Linked DNA regions of Drosophila melanogaster. The protein of the gene in region 1 interacts with the protein of each later gene in a pairwise test. Each region holds a gene or a part of one and is shown on either strand. Other genes may lie near its edges.

Region 1 (10,496 bases):
ACGTGATCGGCGGCTGGACGACCTGCAATGGTGTAGGCGGGTGTATGGTCGAGACGAACTTTCTCGGGGGCGTAGTCGCATGGCGCGGGATGAAGGTGCTCCGTCTTGGGGTCGTGCTTGCCGCCAAAGCTGAAAGCGGGTGCATGGTCCAGTCGCACCTTTTCGGGGCTGTAGTCGCCGGGAGCGGGGGATTCACTCAGTGATCTCGGATCGTGTTTGCCGGCGAAGGTGAACGCCGGATTGAAGTCCTGCCTGACCTTCTCCGGGAAGTAGTCTCCGGGTGCGGGCGTTTCGCTGGGCTTATGCAGGTCATGGCGACCGGCGAAGGAGAAGGCGGGATTGTGATCTAGCCTAACTTTCTCGGGATGGTAATCCCCGGGAGCTGGAGTGTCATGGGTTACCTTTGGATCATGCTTGCCGGCCATTGTAAAAGCAGGATTATGGTCCTGCCTAACTTTCTCGGGGGAGTAAGCTCCGGGGGCAGGAGTCTCATTGGGCTTGTGGAGATCATGACGGCCGGCAAAGGAAAATGCGGGAACATGATCTTGCCTAACCTTTTCAGGGTGATAATCTCCTGGTGCCGGTGTATTGTTCTCCACCTTGGGATCATTCTTGCCCCCAAATGTAAAAGCTGGAGTGTGATCTAAGCGAACCTTTTCGGGACAGTAGTCACCAGGAGCTGGGGTGCCATTGGTAATCTTCTCAATGTATTTACCAGCCATTGAGAATGCGGGATTGTGATCTTGCCTCACCTTCTCCGGTGAGTATGCTCCTGGAGCAGGAGTGTCGCTGGGCTTATGAAGATCGTGACGACCGGCGAAGGAGAAGGCGGGATTGTGATCTTGTCTAACTTTCTCGGGATGATAGTCACCTGGAGCTGGGGTATCGTTTTCTACTTTAGGATTGTTTTTACCAGCAAAGGTAAAGGATGGTGTGTAATCTAGACGGACCTTTTCGGGACTGTAGTCGCCAGGGGCAGGAGTATCATTGGAAACCTTAGGGTCATGCTTTCCGGCCATTGTGAAGGCAGGATTATGATCCTGTCTGACTTTTTCAGGAGAATAGGCTCCAGGTGCTGGAGTGTCGCTAGGTTTTTGAAGATTATGACGGCCAGCGAAAGAGAATGCTGGGTTATGATCTTGCCTAACTTTCTCGGGATGATAATCACCTGGAGCTGGGGTGTTGCTCTCAACTTTGGGATCGTTCTTTCCCCCAAAAGTATAGGCAGGTGTGTGATCTAGACGCACCTTTTCCGGACTGTAATCGCCCGGAGCTGGAGTGTCGTTGGCTACCTTTTGGGTGTACTTACCCGCCATTGAGAAGGCAGGATTATGATCCTGACGGACCTTTTCCGGACAATAGGCACCAGGGGCGGGAGTATCATTCGGTTTGTGAAGATCATGACGACCAGCAAAGGAGAAAGCTGGATTATGATCTTGCCTGACCTTTTCGGGATGATAATCCCCAGGAGCGGGAGTATTGTTCTCTACTTTCGGATCGTTTTTGCCACCGAAAGTGTAGGCTGGAGTATGATTTAAGCGTACTTTCTCCGGGCTGTAGTCTCCGGGAGCGGGAGTACCATTAGTTAGCTTTTCAACTGGCTTGCCTGCCATTGAAAATGCTGGGTTATGATCTTGACGTACCTTCTCGGGAGAGTAGGCTCCTGGAGCAGGAGTATCACTTGGCTTTTGAAGGTCGTGACGACCGGCAAAGGAGTACGCTGGATTGTGGTCCAACCTCACCTTCTCCGGATGGTAATCTCCTGGTGCCGGAGTGTTATTCTCTACTTTAGGATCATTCTTTCCCCCAAAACTGTAAGCAGGTGTGTGGTCTAATCTGCACTTTTCGGGACTATAGTCTCCTGGTGCCGGAGTGCCATTTAAAATCTTCTGATCGTGCTTGCCAGCCATCGTGAAAGCTGGATTGTGATCTAATCTCACTTTCTCCGGCGAGTAAGCACCTGGAGCGGGAGTCTCGCTTGGCTTGTGGAGATCATGGCGGCCAGCAAAGGAGTACGCTGGATTAGTATCTTGCCTAACTTTCTCGGGGCTATAATCACCAGGAGCAGGTGTATCGTTGGTAACCTTGGCATCATACTTGCCGGCCATTGAGAAAGCTGGATTGTGGTCCAGTCTCACTTTCTCCGGGAAGTAGGCTCCAGGAGCGGGAGTGTTGTCTGGTTTCTGAAGGTCGTGACGACCGGCAAACGAATATGCGGGATTGTGATCCTGCCTAACTTTTTCGGGATGATAATCACCCGGGGCCGGAGTGTTATTCTCTACTTTAGGATCACTCTTAACGCCAAAACTGTAGGCGGGAGTGTGATCCAAGCGGACCTTCTCGGGACAATAGTCCCCAGGAGCCGGGCTATCGCTGGTCACCTTTTGACTGTGTTTCCCGGCCATCGAGAAGGCAGGATTGTGATCTTGTCGCACCTTCTCCGGGGAGTAGGCGCCCGGAGCGGGTGTTTCACTGGGTTTGTGCAGATCGTGGCGCCCGGCAAAGGAGAAGGCCGGATTGTGATCTTGCCGGACTTTCTCGGTGTCGTAGGCTCCCGGTGCTGGTGTGTCGCTTGGCTTGTGCAGATCGTGGCGACCGGCGAATGAGAAAGCGGGATTGTGATCGTGCCGCACTTTTTCGGGACAGTAGTCGCCCGGTGCCGGAGTGGAGCTCTCGAGTCGCTGCTCGTGCTTACCGCCGAAGGTGAAGGCCGGCGTTCGATCGTTGCGATACTTTTCCGGGGCATACGAACCGGGCGCCGGAGTCTCGCTCACGGACCTCGTCTCTGGGCGTCCGGACAGGGTGAATGCGGGCGTGTGGTCCAGCCGCACCTTCTCCGGATTGTAGGTGCCCGGCGCTGGCGTGTCACTCGACTTGGCCAGCTCGGCACGGTGGCCAAAGCTGAAGGCAGGCGTCCTGCTCAGGACGCACTTCTCGGGTTCGTATGCTCCGGGTGCTGCAAGAGATTGGGTGAAGATAAGGTGTAAAAAGAGTTGGGTTTTGGTGTGCGGGTCGCACGCTAAGACTAAGATCCATTGAAATGCGATTCTAGAACTCACCAGGTGTGCAATCGACCACGTCCTGCGAAGCCTTTCCGGCGATTGAGTAAGCGGGTGCGGAGTGCAACCTTGACTTTTCGGGGCTGTAGGCACCGGGTGCTGGTCATAAGGACATAAAAGTGTGCGCTATAAGCCAAGTTACTACAGCCCAGCTGAGCGGGAAGCCTTACCTGGAGTATCGCTGACCTGGATGTGTTTGGTCTTCAAGCCAAAGCTGTAGGCGGGAATGTGTTCGAGGACAACCTGCTCGGGCTTGTAGGTGCCTGGCGCTAATGAAAGTGTCGTCGTGGTGAAAGCATCAAGCAGCTATATTAACGTGGCTCAAACCTACAAGGCATACTGTTTACAAACCTGGAGTGTAATCTGGTCGCTGTTCATGGTGCTTGATGCCGAAACTGAACTCTGGCGTCTTGTTGAGCTTCACCTTCTCTGGACAATATGCGCCAGGAGCTGCGGATGGGATGGGATATCAGTATTAAGTTGGCCAAAAGTCACGGGAATAGAAAAGGAAAGCGCTATAGATACTGTCCAATTGGGTACGCTTGAGCAAGTGGTGCCTCGATTGGGGTAGATACGGATACAATTACAGATGCAGATACAGTTACTTGGGGGGGAGGCTGGGATTTATTACCTGGTGTGCCCTGATCGTGTTCGATTTTAGTTCGTCTACCGAAAGTGTAGCGTGGCGCATTCTTTTTTGATTGCGTGACCTTTTCAGGGCAATAGCTATTCGGAGCTGTTAGTGTTAATAAAACATTCGATTTTTAGTCTACTCGAATCAAAACTAAAGGTCTACACTAGGTGAGCTACGACTAAGTGTGGGTGAATTACAAATAGATAGATATGTATATACGGATAGAAAGATACATTATTTCGGGAATTAGTGATGAGTTGGGGATTAATTGATCGGGTTAGAAGTTAGAGAGCGGAGCTAGACCAACACCAACACTAAAACGCAACGTGGACGAAGTTTGGACAGTTAGTTGGGTTACCTGGATTGTTAACCAAATACACGTTAACCTTAATGCGAAAGGAGTAGCGTGGGGCTCGCCGCTTGACGACATCAAGTGGCACCACTTGATAATAGTTGGGACCTGAGTCTCGATTTTGCCACGGCAATCATTCATTGAAAGAGAAAAACGTTTCAAATTAAAATCAAATCAGGCAACATAACAAAAAAAAAGAGGTCACACAAATTACTGAACCACTAAAGTAACACATATACAAAGAACACTGTGTAGCTAGGAAATAATAAATGAGAATTAGAGAATATGTATAATCTTAAATAGAAATATTTATGAGAAATTAAGACATCTGATCTCCGTTTCCGTTTGACTCATAAATAAAAATAACTGAGCCAAGTTGTAGACAATCTTTCACAAAATAGATGACCGTATAAAGACATTGCCAATTCCTCCTACGTAAATTTGTAGCTTTTTTTTAGGGAAACAAAGAAAGTTTAGAGAACGAGATATGAACAAATCGAATAAATAATAATAATGCCCAACATTATAATTAAATACTTTTTAATTAATGTACCAAAAATAATAGAATAGAATAAGCCAAATCATTCACGCACATTACGAGGTGACATAACTACGATTCAATCTCAAGGATACCCAAAGATACAGCAGAATAATCTACGAAATGTGGCTACGACTACACTAGCTACTGAGATAGAGATAGAAAGTGGGAGAAAGTGGAAGAAAGGGGCGGTAGCAACTTACGCGCTGCTTGCAGTAAGGATGCAACTGGCATGGATTCGGATTAGTTAATGAGTACGCTTCTATGTACAATGATGATCCATGATTGAAATTGATTGATGATCTCCTCAGTCCGCGCATGCAACCAAAAAAAAAAAAAAAAACAGCACCAGCCCGCAACAAACACCGAATTCAACGCCAAATTCAAAGTCAATTTTCAGATCCAACTCCAAAATCCAACATCAGGTCCAAAAACACCATTCAAACACCAGTGGAAGAAGACCGAGACTCACCTGGTATCTGGAAGGTTTTCAACGCGACCGGCCGTTGGCCAAAAGTGTATTTGGGCGTGGCATCGATCACCGCCTTGGCCGCCGGCACCACATCGTATTCCCCAGGTCCGGGATTCGAGAAGCGTGTTAGTTCCTTGGGTCTGCTCTGCAGAGTGGCTGCTCGAGGATAATCCCGACCCTTGGCTCGCATACCCGTAACATTGTACTGCGCCGGACCCGGTCCGGAGGTGTCATACTTTCCGCCCAACTTGTGGCCAAAGGAGTACGAGGGTGCGGCCTTCTTCTTGGAGTCGGGAACTTTGCTGCCTAAATGTGGGATTTTCAATAAGTTATATTTGCAGGAACATTAAACCAATCTTAAGCTTACCTATCAAGGTTGGAAGTTGGACAGTGGCTGGACCCGGATTGGTGGTCTCGGCGGCGATCTTGCCGATCCTAACAGTTGGAGTCCAAGGACGCTGCTCCACGTTGCCGCCCATGTTAATTGGACGAATCTTACGCACGCGGGCGCAGGGTCCCTGATCCTTGTTCTTGTTTTTGAACTCGACCTAAAAAGGGGAAAACAAACAACAATATTAAGAAATCCATTAGTTATTTAGATCTTCAAGAAACCACCTTGTTCATCTTGCTGTTTTTAGGCTTAGTAGTATCGAAGTCTGAAAATTGTGCCCCAATGTAAAAAAAAAAAGTTAAAGACCAAATTTACTGAACTCCCTTCGCTGACATTTACACGTGTGAGTGGGTGATAGGCTGACTACTGAAATCTATACTTCGACCCCCAAACTTGGGTAACCTAATAATCCAAATTTCGTCCTACTCCAACAGCCAAGTCGATGACACAAAAATCAATCGTCTGGCATTTGTTTCGAACTTTCTGGGCCAATTCCGATGGGGCGGCTAATAACCAGGCGTGTAGCTCCACATATTCATACCATCCATGGGCGAATGGATTCAGTGGATGGGGGCGTGTCGTGTGGCGGCTGTCACTCTTTTTCTTCTCCTTCTTCTGCAGTGGCTGTTGCTCGGCATTTGTTGCAGGTTCCTTCTGTTCGAGCCGCGAATTTGTTGCGCCGCACGAAATACAAACAATGGCAATAACTTTGCGGTAGGCTCGTAATTCTTGGGCGTCAGTGGCAGGCACAAAAGTTGCAGGGGTTTGCAGTGCAACCAAAATAAAGTTAAGAAACTTAAATTACAGTCTTATTATGTCTTTGCCTTTCAGTTGTATTTGATTTTGAATAGAGAGCAATAATTTATATATGTAATCGAAGTTTGTAAAGGTGCCTAAATATATCTAGCATATATTGAGCTTCACCCTTTAAATTGAATTTCCCTATAAAAAGGGAACAATAAAATACGAAGAGAAAACCAAATGAATTTTAATGCAGTTACCACGGTAGACAATTTTATTATACATATGATTACCACTAAGTCGTAACAAAAGAAGTGCACAATAAAAGTGTTTCCAGCTAGTTAGGAGCTAGACAAAATGAATATTTTAATGAGAGGCCCCCCTCAACAACATTCGTATTCCCCAAAACCTGCTGCTGCCCTGGGTGACGACCTTCTTTTCACAGCTCAGCACACGGGACACCAAGTGTTGCCCATCGACAGGCGGGCAGACATCGGAAAACAGACCGGTACCAGCTGGTATCAGGAGTTCCAACCACGCTCCACCTTACCAACTTTCCACCTTTCCACCTTTTTAGCGCCAGGAACCAGGCATTTGGGCATGTAATCGATATGGGGCTGGATTTGGATACGGATACGAATTCGACGGGCGCCGAGATTTGGGGTCTGGTCAACAAGGTTGTGTCCCGAATCGAAGCGAAACGAAACGAAACGAAGGGGAGTATGCTAAGTGCTAATGCTGCCCATTTTGTGGGGCATGTAAGCCAACAAAACGATTACTTTTAATGACTTATGGCCGACAATTGCATGAACCAAAACAAAAACAAACCCAGGACCCAAAAGAAATGCGAAGCGTGCCACTTCTTTTGGCCGTGAAAATTCGCCAGCCTGTGTAAATAATTACAAACAATGTTAGGGGGCGTGGCCTGGCTGTTAACAGGGCCAATAAAGCCGTCGTTCTGCTGCCAAGAAAGGCTTCACTTTTCCCGCCAGCCGCACTTGTTACTTGCTACATATGACTCCTGACCTCGCATGCAATTCACATATACATATGTATGTATTTATGTACAAAAAACAATGTTCTCTTCGCAAGGCAGGCAGTCATCAGGCGGTCTTATAAGGCGACTCTTACATCACCATCATGAGGTTGGAAAGCCCACACACCGTACCGCCTGTTCAATTGCTGTTCGAGGCCAAGATCAGCGAAGAAAACTGAAAATCTAACGATGAATCAGAGCCGGCAGCTGAGCCAACAAACTCAGACATCTGTCAGACAAAGAGTCTTGGCCACCCACCCACATTGCTCGCATTGAAGGAAATCTGTCTTAATATGCACATATGGCATCGAAAAGAGATCAATTAAAAATCTAAAAATATATTAAGCTTAATTGTGAAAGAAAATTGTGATTGAATAATAGTCATCTTATACATAAAAGCATAACTGTCAAGATTTTGGAAGCATATAGTAGAACAGAAAATTTCAAAACATAAGATATTGCATTTGATTGTCACGCTTTTTTCTATAAACCATTAAAAAAGGGGTTCAAAATACAAAATCATGTATGCCTTATATATGACTTTAATTTATCAGCCAAGTTATTGCCACCACCAAATAGTGTGTGCTATTTTTCCGAGTGCAACTTCAATTGAATAATGTTTGGTTCGCCCGTTCAGGAGGTCGCATTTAATCACGTTAATAGAGCGTTGGCTCATGCAATCAATTTGCATGTGGCGATCAGATTTCAGTAATCAAATTATAGATGGTGATGCTCGATAATCTATGCACGGGGGTCAGTGTATAAACCGGCTAAACTATATAGTTTATTAAAATCGCCCCCACACACTCGACTTTCGATCTCTCTTTCTCGCTATAAATATTTGCTTGCATTTTGTGAATAACAAAAACTGGCATTCATTATTAGTTACAGAGAGTTTCAGCAAATATTTTAGCATTATCTCTGTGACCTTCGGTGATTTGTTTATGATGATGTGTTTCTGTTTGATTTAAATTGATATTCTCACAGTTGACCCGATGACTCTGCACCCGTGACGAAAACAACGCGTCAGCTTTAATTTGTGATTTTCACTCTAAAAATATAAATAAAAGCTGTAGGTAGCCTCAGCCATAAAACTGAAATACCCTGTAAGTGAAGTTGTGTTTACTAATCTGTTTTGATTGAATATAATAGCATAGGTTCGAAATAAGTGAAAGAATGCCTAATATAGATTCCTTAACATGGAAATAATGTTTCAAATTGTATAAATATTTCAACAGTTTTTAATCACATAATCATTTTTAATCATCGATGGACCATGTATCGATATACCCCCCTTATTTACTAATTGTGAGGTATCTGTATCTCTGACATGATCAACAATCATCTCAACTCAGTGAAAACGTTTTTATGTTCTTTCGACTTCATTTCACGCTCTCCAAAACTGCGAATTAAATATGAGCTCATTCCCAAAATTTAGACAATTTCCAGGCGGCCAACTTGGGGGCTTTTACGCCCAAATACGGCGGCCGACGTTTCCTTTAGCCCACATTGAGTTGTCCGAAAAAGCCAGTTCGGAATTGGGTTTCCAGACGGCAGATCGACCCACGCAGAAACTCCATGACTCCGCGATATATAGACATACAGCCAAATAGCCATAATTCGTGTGCTGTCTCTATTAACTATTGCCTCTTTTTTTTTGTAAAAGTTTAATTAACGCCGAACAAGTTGAGCAATTCCTTTCCAAAAACAGAAAACGACAACAAGTGAGTGAGCCAGCCGGCAAAAGGCCAAAAAGGCCGAAAAGAGCTGGTAAATGAAAACATGAGAGCCAAGAAGCAAAACTGAACTCTCGTGATTGTGATAAAAACGCCAAGACCGACTGACGTCAGCTGTGTGAACTAGTTTGCGATCGTCCAAATCTAATTAAGTTTCTCAACATTCTCGGTGCTCTGCAGCGCGAACGTGTTTTGGCTTTGAAAACCAAGAGAAAGCTGGGAAATGAGGCGGGAAAAATTGGCAAACCCTCACTGAAACTTGGTTCTCAAGGCACAAGGCCAATGTTTTCAAATAGCTGTTGATAATTACTAAATTTAATGGGGGACCATCACACATCCGTTTCCAAATTCTAGAGCCTGAGATCACTGGCTGCTGCTGACACAATTTGCATGTTTGGATACATAAATATCCGTTTGGGTCATTTTATAAATATTTATTTAGCGATTATTGCATTTCCCCTTAGCAGCTTACTTTTCTATTTAACCTTTTACCATTCGTTACTTCGCTATTTTGTATCTTTTTTTTTTTTGTTTTTGGCCAACGCGCTTTTGTGTTGTGCCTGCGCCATAATCAGTGACTTTGAAAAATGAGCTGCTGACTCGGGTCGACCGGTTATTAGAGCTGATGTCATGGGCTTCGTGGGACAAGTGAAGTAAAGGTATCAAGAACCGCGGAAGGGTTACATCTATGCCAACAAGTGACATCAATACGGGAACGCGAGTGTCATTGACTAAACAATGGGAGGAGCTGGGTGGATTTATTTGGGGGCGGAGCAGAACAGCTGACTGGCGGTGGGGAAACCTAGCCCTATGCCACCAGGAAATGCCAATAGTTAGACAGACAGACAGTCAATGAACTTTGGGGTCGGGTCAGCACGCAATCCCACTGGCTGCTCCGGTCGGGCTCCACCTGACTTGGTTAACGCCTACTCCAGTTTATCCTTACCGCAGGCTACTTTACGATTTCGGGTATCTCGTCCTGTTTCCGTTGTATCGTGTGATTTCCGTAACTTTCTTTTACACAGTAAAAAACTTCACTTTATTGCGGTGCTAATAGCGCGTAGTGCATACAGTCCTTGCCAGGATTAGTCGCGATTTTTGGGCGATATTCAAAACATCTGTTCACCCGAAAGAGATTGCTATATTCGTTGTTATTGTAGTTGGGTTTCGTGGCTGATTTATTATTTCGTTGATTCGTTCGTTGATTGGGTTCAAGTGACAGCCGCTTTCGAGTGTCGGTCTGCCGACTGGCGTTTGAAGTCTACTAGAGGTTTTCAAAACAAAACACACTTTGCTGATTTATTTATACCGATTGGATTGGCCGCTATGAGCTGAGTTTGTTTCAGTGAAAGAGAAGAGAGCTAGCTAGAACCGCACTCGAGAGCTGTCGAACAGAAACTGCGGCACCAAGTCGCTAACGCTCGCTTTTCGTTTCAAATTTTCGACGTAACGAATGCAAGACGTCACGTAAGCCACCGCGTTGGCGTTAACAGTCGACGTAAGAGTTAACATGAGTCTCCTCTGTTATTTGGCTAAG
Region 2 (9,168 bases), on another chromosome or scaffold:
AACTCGAAACCTGAACGAGGAATATAGCTACATATATAGAGTCATGCTTTGATGCCCAAAGAAAATGAAAGATAAGAATCGTAATGCAAGGCAAACTTCCATGTGAAAATGAGAAAATTGTCTGGAAATTGTTGGTAACATGGTTTCCGTTTAAATTAGCTAATTACGAAACACACTTTACGATATATCATACGATACGTTAAACATAATTACTAAATAGTGAATCACACGCAATATTAATCAAGCAGATCCTTTATATTATCGTTTAAAACTGACCAACAGAAGAAAAATAAAATACACAATGCAAAAAACACTCAAAACAAAATCAGTTCTGAAACACAAAATTGATTGTTTTAATTCATTTGTTTGGGATTGGGCAAATTCCAGTCAAGGAGCTGCTTTCCTATTTAAACTGTCTTTAATGGGTCCGGAAATATAATTCATATTTTAAATATCTTTGATTACAGTTACTCCTACTAAGGCCACTCCAGAGCTCTCCCAGCGGCTCTTCGGCTCCTCTTCGACGACAATCTCAGCAACGGCTCCAGGCGGCAGCAGCACTGGTCCTTCGGAAACGATTTCCCTGCTGGAGATCAGCGATGAAAGGGAGTCCGCCCCGGTTCACCTGCCTACTATTTTGGGCCTGAAGATACGCGCCATTAACACTACGACGCCTGCGCAGCAAGGATCCCCCCAGACGCCTACGAAATCCAAGCCGAAGATACGGCAGGCGACAGGAAGCAATAACAGCAACTCTCTGCTCAAGCAACAGCTGCGAGGTGGAGCCAAGGATCCTGAGGTGCCGCCTGCCACCAGGATCACGGGGGCAGTGACCCCCAATGCTGCCCTTAATGCCGAGGAACAGTCCAAGGAGATGCCGAAGAAAAACCAGGACGAGGTCAACGCCTGCATTGGTCTGCACTCGCTGGCAAATGCCGCCGAGCAGCAGGCTGCTCAGGTGGCCAGCACTGGGAACCTGCACCACCAGCTACTGCTTCACATGGCAGCAAACAACTCCATGCTGAACACCACCGATTACTACCAACAGCAGCAGCAGGAGTCTCCCTCGAGTGCTGGCCAGTTTATGGATGACGACCTGGAGCTGCTGTCTCTTAATGATCAGCAGGATAAAAGCGATGAACCCGATCATGAAATGGTCACGCTGGCTGATGAGAACGCTGGTTTGCCTGGTTACCAGGGCAACGAGGCGGAAGCCACACCTGCGCAGGAAGATTCGCCTGCTGCGGAGACAGCAACGGCACCACCACCCGCGCCTAGAAGTGGAAAGAAGGGAGCTAAGCGTCCGATTCAACGGCGGAGAGTTCGACGCAAGGCCCAGTCGACGCTGGATGATCAAGCGGAACACCTGACAGAGATGTCCGTGCGGGGGCTGGATCTCTTCCGGTATGCGAGCGTCGTGGAGGGCGTCTACCGCTGTACCGAGTGCGCCAAGGAGAACATGCAGAAGACATTCAAGAACAAGTACAGCTTCCAACGTCACGCCTTTCTCTACCACGAGGGCAAGCATCGCAAGGTGTTCCCATGTCCCGTGTGCTCCAAAGAGTTCTCGCGACCAGATAAAATGAAGAACCACCTCAAGATGACACACGAGAACTTTACGCCGCCGAAGGACATTGGCGCCTTCAGCCCCCTGAAATACTTGATCAGTGCAGCGGCTGCAGGGGATATGCACGCTACGATCTACCAGCAACAGCAAGATCATTACCACCGCCAGTTGGCCGAGCAACTGGAGCAGCAAAACGCCTCCTTTGACAGCCGGGACAGTTCGCTTATCCTGCCCGACGTGAAGATGGAGCATGCGGAAGACCAGGATGCGGAACAGGAGGCGGAACTGAGCGATGGTGGCTATGACGCCTCCAATCCAGCAGCAGCAGCAGCCGCCATGTTGAGCCTGCAACAAGACGTAATCATCAAGGATGAGATACAGATCTCTCCGTCGCCCTCGCCCACCCCGCCCGCTTCCTGCGCTGTGGCGGAGGGCAAGTCCTTGGCTTTGGCCTCTACCGCACAAACCGCAACGTAAAGACTTTGAAGGACCAGAGTTACGGAAGGACTACGAACGCACAACAACGTTTACCTTAAGCAGCGAGCTCTGAACTGTAGAATACATCATAGCAACATAAGCAATCGTGGCACTCAAACGCAACACACCAGACTCAAAACGATTTTTAGTTAATGTAAACCCGTAAGCAATATTAATTCTAACACTTGCTCCGTCCAGAACGCCTTTTTTAAGCAACACTAGTATTTAATTTACCTAGGACATAAGTTTTGCCCAATTGAGCAACGCAATTGAGCAGTTCAGTGAACTTTAATGACTTTCGGCTTTAATTATAAACAATTCGACTGGCCGCTTACTGGATCCGCACACGATCCGTAAGGCAAGCAACTTTAGAACTTTTCATTTCTCTTTGTGATTTTGTTAAACCTTTTTATATAGACCTTTGTTTTTTATTTTTTGTTGTACATAGCTATATTTTGTTTAATACTCAAAGTCCGTAGTATAATTTTGTTCATTTCCTTGGCAACAAGTTGGAATCAAATGTATTGGCTAATTGTGCAATCTTCAAAACGTGTTGGTGGCTTCGGAGGAACGCGACAACGCTGTTCTGCGGCCCCACGAAATGTTGTAAACTTAATTAACTACTAAGGCCACTTAACTAGGATCTAGGTGTAGTCATAAGGCATTGGATCAATGTTCCAGCGTACAACAAAACGGACTTCCAGTGAAGAGACAACTGATATTTATACGGAATCCCAATCTGGTATTATGTATTATGATTTTTACAGTTTACTTAACGCAACAAATACGACTTAAGACTTGTGCGCTCAATGACTAGAAATTATAGTTGCGATTTTAGGATAACTATTCATGGAAAAACCACAAACGAGTTTTTAATAAAGAAAATTTTACTGATTAATTATTTTTAAAAGCGTTTGAAACATATTTCATTAATTCTGATAAAATCACAAATCGATACACTTAAAAACCCCCACAGCCAATCACAATAATTGAATAATGAACGTGTACATATTTTATTCCTTAAAGTTTTATTCGATTGGTGTAGCTTCATCCGTTTACTGATTATTTGCTCTTCGGTACCAGAAACGTGCCCGAAAGTCGTCGGAGCAGGTGAGGAAAGCAGGACCATTGGGCGAATGCGTAATATAGCGGACAGGTCCGTTGTGTCCAAGCGAGTTAAGGGTCAGGCGGCAGCCGTTACGGGAGTTCCACGAGCAAAGCGAAGTGGTGGCCTCGTCGGGGAAAAGCACGTAATCCTCTGTGTGGTTGAATACAGCCTCTGTCTGGTGCTCCTGCTTGCCGGTGGTTCCAGCGCCCGTGTACGTCTGAATGGGACGACTGGTACACAGCTCCCACAGATAAACCAGTGAATCCATACCGGAAGATAGGAGGTACTAAAATGAATAAGTTAAAATCTTGCACAGCCACTACCCATAGTGTCCCATTACCTTTCCATTCCGCGTAAACTCCAGTGAGCATATTGCCGCTCCGCCATGCGCCTCGGCAATGGTGTTGATGCACCGCCCGCTGATCCCATCCCATATTTTGATGTCACCATCATAGCTGCCTGTGGCGTAGAGTTTCCCCGTGGGCGAATATTTCACGCAAGTAACTCCAGCCTTGTGCTGCTGCGAGGGAATGGCACTCACGAAGCATTGGGTGGTGGCCACATCGTAGACCCGCAAGACGTTATGTTCCGTTCCGATGGCTACGTAGTCACCAGTAGGATGAAAAGACAGGCACAGCACCGGCTCGCAGTCGGTGAACACCTTGTGGGCCTTCTTTACCGAAGGCTTGGCAATGTCAAACAACTTAACAGTGCCATCGCGCGAGGCGGAGGCCAGGATGTGCTCCTTGGGATGGAACTCCAGGTAAGACACTTCATCAGTGTGATCATAGAGCGTGCGAATCACTGGATGGCCTTGTTGTTCCCTGCCCGGCTCGATATCTTCGGGCGCAGACTTCGCCAGCATCCGCTCCACGTCCAGAATCTTGATGCTGGCATCCACGCTCCCGGTGGCCACCAGGGAACCATCGCAACTGAAGGCGCCGGCGCGACAGGCCTGCTTGTGCGAGGTCACATACGCGGTTTCGTAGGAATGTGGTTCCGGGGCCAAGGCCGAAGCCTCCGGCTCGAATTCCAAGTCTATGCCGGGCAGCACATCATCCGAGTTGGTTTTGTCCTTGTCGCTCAGCGTCTGCATCCCTGCAATCATTACGTGCAGCAGGCGTTCACTGGGAGCGCACTGGTCCGCCTTCACCAGCATGGACAGCTCCATGGCGAACTTCTCCAGGCCGTCGTACATCAGCTGGCTGATCATCAGTCGGTAGAGTATCTCCCGGTTCTTCACTAGGTTACTGGGGTCCAAAATCTCATCACGCATGGTGGCTTAATTTATATTTTGTTTCCTACGGATATAAACAAAATCTTGTAGATAACGCCGTGCCGTTATCGTTATCGAAAACATTTATCTTGCCGGTATGTCATCTCTAGCTATGCGGTATTGAAATACTGAAATCAGGGTTTCGGTATTTTACGGTCCACGGTCACTCCTAACAGCTGCAACACGTGCGGTTTTAAAATTGTTTTGGTCCCCTCAATTGATTTTAAACATTGTTTGATTCATTAATTAAACCTCTCAACAATGAAGATCCGCAAGAATCATGCTCGCAAGCGTTATCGCTACAATGTAAACCGCAAGACGATGAATAAAACCCGGAGTTCCACCGGAAAAATTAAGGAGTAAGTTGGATCTTGGTGCACTTACAGCCAATAGAGTCAACAAGTTTACGAAAACCTTCTGTTATGATCTTACCAGTCCCAGGATGAAAAAGATGTGGATGGAGGACCAGCGTGTGGGCACCAACTTCAGTGAAATGGGGTTGGCCAAGGACGTCAACAAGGCCATTGCGATTCCCAGCTACAAGAAGGACCGCCTCCTAGCGGCCCGAGTTGTGAATGGGTTTCTGGAGGAGGAGCTGGACGAGGATGAGCGGCGTGTATTGGGCCTCAAGAAACCAGTCGTAGAGGAGGGTCCAAAACGTGGACACGTAGTCCAGGAACTAGAACAACTGGCTAGCGAGCGAGCCGACCCAGAGTTCAGGTAAAATATTGATTCTGCAATGGAAAACTGTCAAAATACAGGTTTTGTATTTGCACAGATTACCCAAGGGCGTGGTCAAGGAACTGTCCTACTTTCTTAACAAACATAAGTTTAACTACAAGGCGATGGTTGCCGATCGGAAAAACTTTGGCCAGTGGACGTGGCGGCAGTTCCGCTTGAAGATTCGCAGATTTATGTCGATTCCGGAGCAGTTTAACGTTTACCTGGAGCAGAAGAAGTTGCCCGTGGGCGTGAAACCGGACTGGGAGGAATACGAGTCGGACAGTGAATGGAAATAATGGCTCTTGACCAATGTACATTATAGTCGTTTTCGGGTTCTAATGCTATTAATTGTAATGTTTAGACTTACTTTAATTCTTTTAATACAATAAAATAGGCAAGTAAAGACGAACGCAAAAGGTCTACGTATTAAAGCATTACTGTTAATTACATTACATTACTATTAACAGTATTTTTTCAAATTCCTTTCTAACATTTTTGTTCTGTCAAATTTTCTATTGTTCTGTCGTACGACAGGACGAGAGAGAGAGAAAGGAAGGAGCTTGCGTCTTATTTCAACGCATAAGCGAATAGTGTGCACAATGTCTTTTGCAATTAGTGGTGAATGTGCATACTTTTAGTGACAGTCCGTGAAAGTACTATATTATTTTATCTGCAAAAGACTCAGTTTAAGAGAATATAAAATATTCCATGAATGGTAGTAAAATTGTATTACTATTTTTATTTTGGTACGTTTTATACTTAAGGGATGGAAACTTTATTTAAGTCAAGAAATCCGCATAATGCAATAGGAAACCCAAGGCCCTTGTCATACATGGAATCCTGTGCCATCTCTAGGTCGGAATCAGTTCAGCTCCGTTCACCTCAGCATCGTTGCTTTTTCGGTCTTTCCGTTTTGTGATTTCGAGGTAAGTGCACGCAGAGCTCCCGTTAAATTGTGAAAATATTAATAGGCATTGATTAGTTGTGGAAATGTAAAAAGGGAAAGTCCCAGAATTCCCTACCCTGCATTATTAGGCGAATTTCGGTTCGATTTTCCAACCTAAAGAAAGTTCTAAAGTAAAGAAAGTTCCGAAAAGTGAGAGAGTGTAAGTGATTTGCGCTGCCGGCCGGTCTTCTCATTCCTTTTGCATAATAGCTGTGTAAATCGATTCGAATTGGAAATTGGTTTTCCAGCGACCTTAAATTGCAAGTAAATTAATAAAGTTGCATAGACTTTCGAATTCCAACATGGCGACCGGCTGCATGTGTGTGCGCGTTCGATTTTGCCTGGATTGTACCCGTTTCTCCTTCCCGTTCTCAAGCCGTTTATTCCCGAGTAGTTTCTATTGGAATTCGCAGGCAAAAAAAAAATATCCGCGGCATGATGACACATGGTTAGCAGATTATTTTCCTGCCCTGCATCTCTGACGAAGTATTTTTGCATATTCTTTCCCCCTTCATTCCCATTGCTTCTTCCAATTTGCACTTCGATGCAAATACAAAGATTTAAAAATAACATGCAGGAAAATCGGCAAGTGAAACTGTCACTGGGGTAGAAAATAAATCACAACGCCCTGCAGTTCTCGCCGTCTCTTTCCCTTCCTTCTCTGCATGACCAGCAAGTGCACTGCGCCCGTTCGCCGTCCCTTTCTCTCCCGCTCTCTCCATCTCCCTCTACAGTTTTTCACCCTTTGGAATCGCGGAATTTTCGCCGCACGACCGCCACCGAATGCCGATGCTTTTGGCCATTTCCCTTTGAATTTTCTTCCACCGTGCTGCGAAAGCTGCCAAATTTCGGCATTTCGACATTTGGCTTTAATTGAAATCCGTTTGGGTGTGCGATTTTCATTGGTTTTCCCACTAAAAACGCCGGCCGGCACATTTTCGCCATGCACTGCCGCACTTCCCGGCTTTCCGACGAGGGTTTCTCTTCGGCTTAATCCTCTCCAGCCGAGGAGAGTGCATTTTCCCAGTACGCACACTTCGGCTCCATTCGTTTCTGTCTGGGGCTCGTTATTGATTTTTCGCCCGGTGCACTTCGGCAGAGGATATACACGGCAGTCTTTAACCAACAGACACTTGGCCCGGTCGTGGTCCGGCTGCAGAGTACGGAAGATCCGCATAGAGTTTAAAAACTGCCATTTTTATGACAACGATTTCCTTCTAATTCTAGGATATAGCGTCGCGTGGGTTTGTGATCAGTTTCTAAGTGCGCAGCGTTGCCGAGTAATAAGAAACTCTAGAAAGTCTCGTGAAAACAGGTGAGTTTTTCTGCTTGTAAATTCTTGCTGCATACATTTGTGGGCAAAAATATTATGGGAATATGGGTGTATTTCTCAATCGTACACATTAGTGTCCATAAGAGTCCGTAAAAACATACATGTGTATTTATATTTTTCCTATTATTCAGTATAAGGCTTAATTTGAACTAATTGGTAAACTTTTCGCGTGATTTTCGTGTTTACTCTTGAATTGTTTAAAATTCGTATTTTCGAAATATAAAAGTTCAATGGTTTTCCCTGGTGTACGTTTGTGCCTGTCCGTATGAAGTGTGCTTTTGGTGTCTACACCACGATGACACGACCCACAGCATACAGACGTCACTCGTCTGCACCACCCATTAAGTTCAGACCCACATTGGCATGCTACCTCCCCGAGTACGGAAACCACCCACTTTGCTCATCCGAATACCTGCATCCCTTCTGTCTCCCAGCAGCTCTAAAAAATAGCTTAATCTGCAAGGATGGGCAAGGAGAAGATCCATATTAACATTGTGGTCATTGGCCATGTGGACTCCGGCAAGTCGACGACCACCGGCCACTTGATCTACAAATGCGGCGGCATCGACAAGCGTACGATTGAGAAGTTCGAGAAGGAGGCCCAGGAAATGGGAAAAGGCTCCTTTAAGTACGCCTGGGTACTGGACAAGCTGAAGGCAGAGCGGGAGCGGGGCATCACCATCGACATTGCCCTATGGAAGTTCGAGACGTCCAAGTACTATGTGACCATCATCGATGCCCCTGGTCACAGGGATTTCATCAAGAACATGATTACCGGTACCTCTCAGGCCGATTGTGCGGTGCTGATCGTCGCCGCCGGAACTGGAGAGTTCGAGGCCGGGATCTCGAAGAACGGCCAGACCCGCGAGCACGCCCTTCTGGCATTCACGCTGGGCGTGAAGCAGCTTATTGTGGGCGTCAACAAGATGGACTCCACTGAGCCGCCGTACAGCGAGGCCCGCTACGAGGAGATCAAGAAGGAGGTGTCCTCGTACATCAAGAAGATCGGCTACAATCCGGCCTCGGTGGCCTTCGTGCCCATCTCCGGATGGCACGGCGACAATATGCTGGAGCCGTCCGAGAAGATGCCCTGGTTCAAGGGATGGTCCGTGGAGCGCAAGGAAGGCAAGGCAGAGGGCAAGTGCTTGATCGACGCGCTGGACGCGATCCTTCCACCCCAGCGTCCCACCGACAAGCCGCTGCGCCTGCCGCTCCAGGACGTCTACAAGATCGGAGGCATCGGAACCGTACCAGTAGGTCGTGTGGAGACTGGTCTCCTCAAGCCAGGTAAGGCTCCGGGTTGATGAGGTCGGGTGTGGGCCCTCTTTTCTCTTTGGGCACTTCATACATGTATTCTGCAAAATTTGGGTCGACAGTGGGCTGGCATCCAACAGCCACCGCCTCCAAAGCGGAGCCCGCAACGAAGTCTTGCGCATGTATGCATTATTGAGCGAACGTCTTCGTCGAGAGCGAGACCCTCCACCTCATGCACTTGGTGAAATTCTCACTCCGAAGAGCTTCCATTTTCAACATGAAAGTGAAAGGCCATTAAAATAAAATAACCCTAGCTAACATATTAATATATGTAGAGCTATTGATTCAAATAAAAATAAATTGGAGTTAGTTCGAATAATATCGCTCCACGTTTCTCTCTCTGTATGCACCCACCCCCATCCAAATGTCTACACATAACGTCCGGATATGTAACTTCGTTTCGGTCGCTTCGTTTCCGGTTTCG

The links.
Region 2: the proteins of CG8086 (region 1) and CstF50 interact in a two-hybrid assay, tested with the Drosophila melanogaster proteins (one large-scale study listed by BioGRID).

What each region holds. Positions count from the first base shown.
Region 1 is NT_033779.5:8,247,173-8,257,668, forward strand, and holds the start of CG8086 (uncharacterized protein), read right to left. Parts: upstream 5,795-10,496; 5' UTR 5,680-5,794; coding exon 5,671-5,679; intron 5,604-5,670; coding exon 5,423-5,603; intron 5,362-5,422; coding exon 5,056-5,361; intron 4,154-5,055; coding exon 4,052-4,153; intron 3,796-4,051; coding exon 3,691-3,795; intron 3,510-3,690; coding exon 3,411-3,509; intron 3,329-3,410; coding exon 3,230-3,328; intron 3,159-3,229; coding exon 3,060-3,158; intron 2,957-3,059; coding exon 1-2,956.
Region 2 is NT_033777.3:31,732,453-31,741,620, forward strand, and holds CstF50 (cleavage stimulation factor 50 kD subunit), read right to left. Parts: upstream 4,512-9,168; 5' UTR 4,429-4,511; coding exon 3,493-4,428; intron 3,439-3,492; coding exon 3,100-3,438; 3' UTR 3,051-3,099; downstream 1-3,050. Other genes in the region: ttk (tramtrack), read left to right, coding at 468-2,044; CG11563 (uncharacterized protein), read left to right, coding at 4,690-4,787, 4,864-5,148, 5,207-5,447; eEF1alpha2 (eukaryotic translation elongation factor 1 alpha 2), read left to right, coding at 7,895-8,717.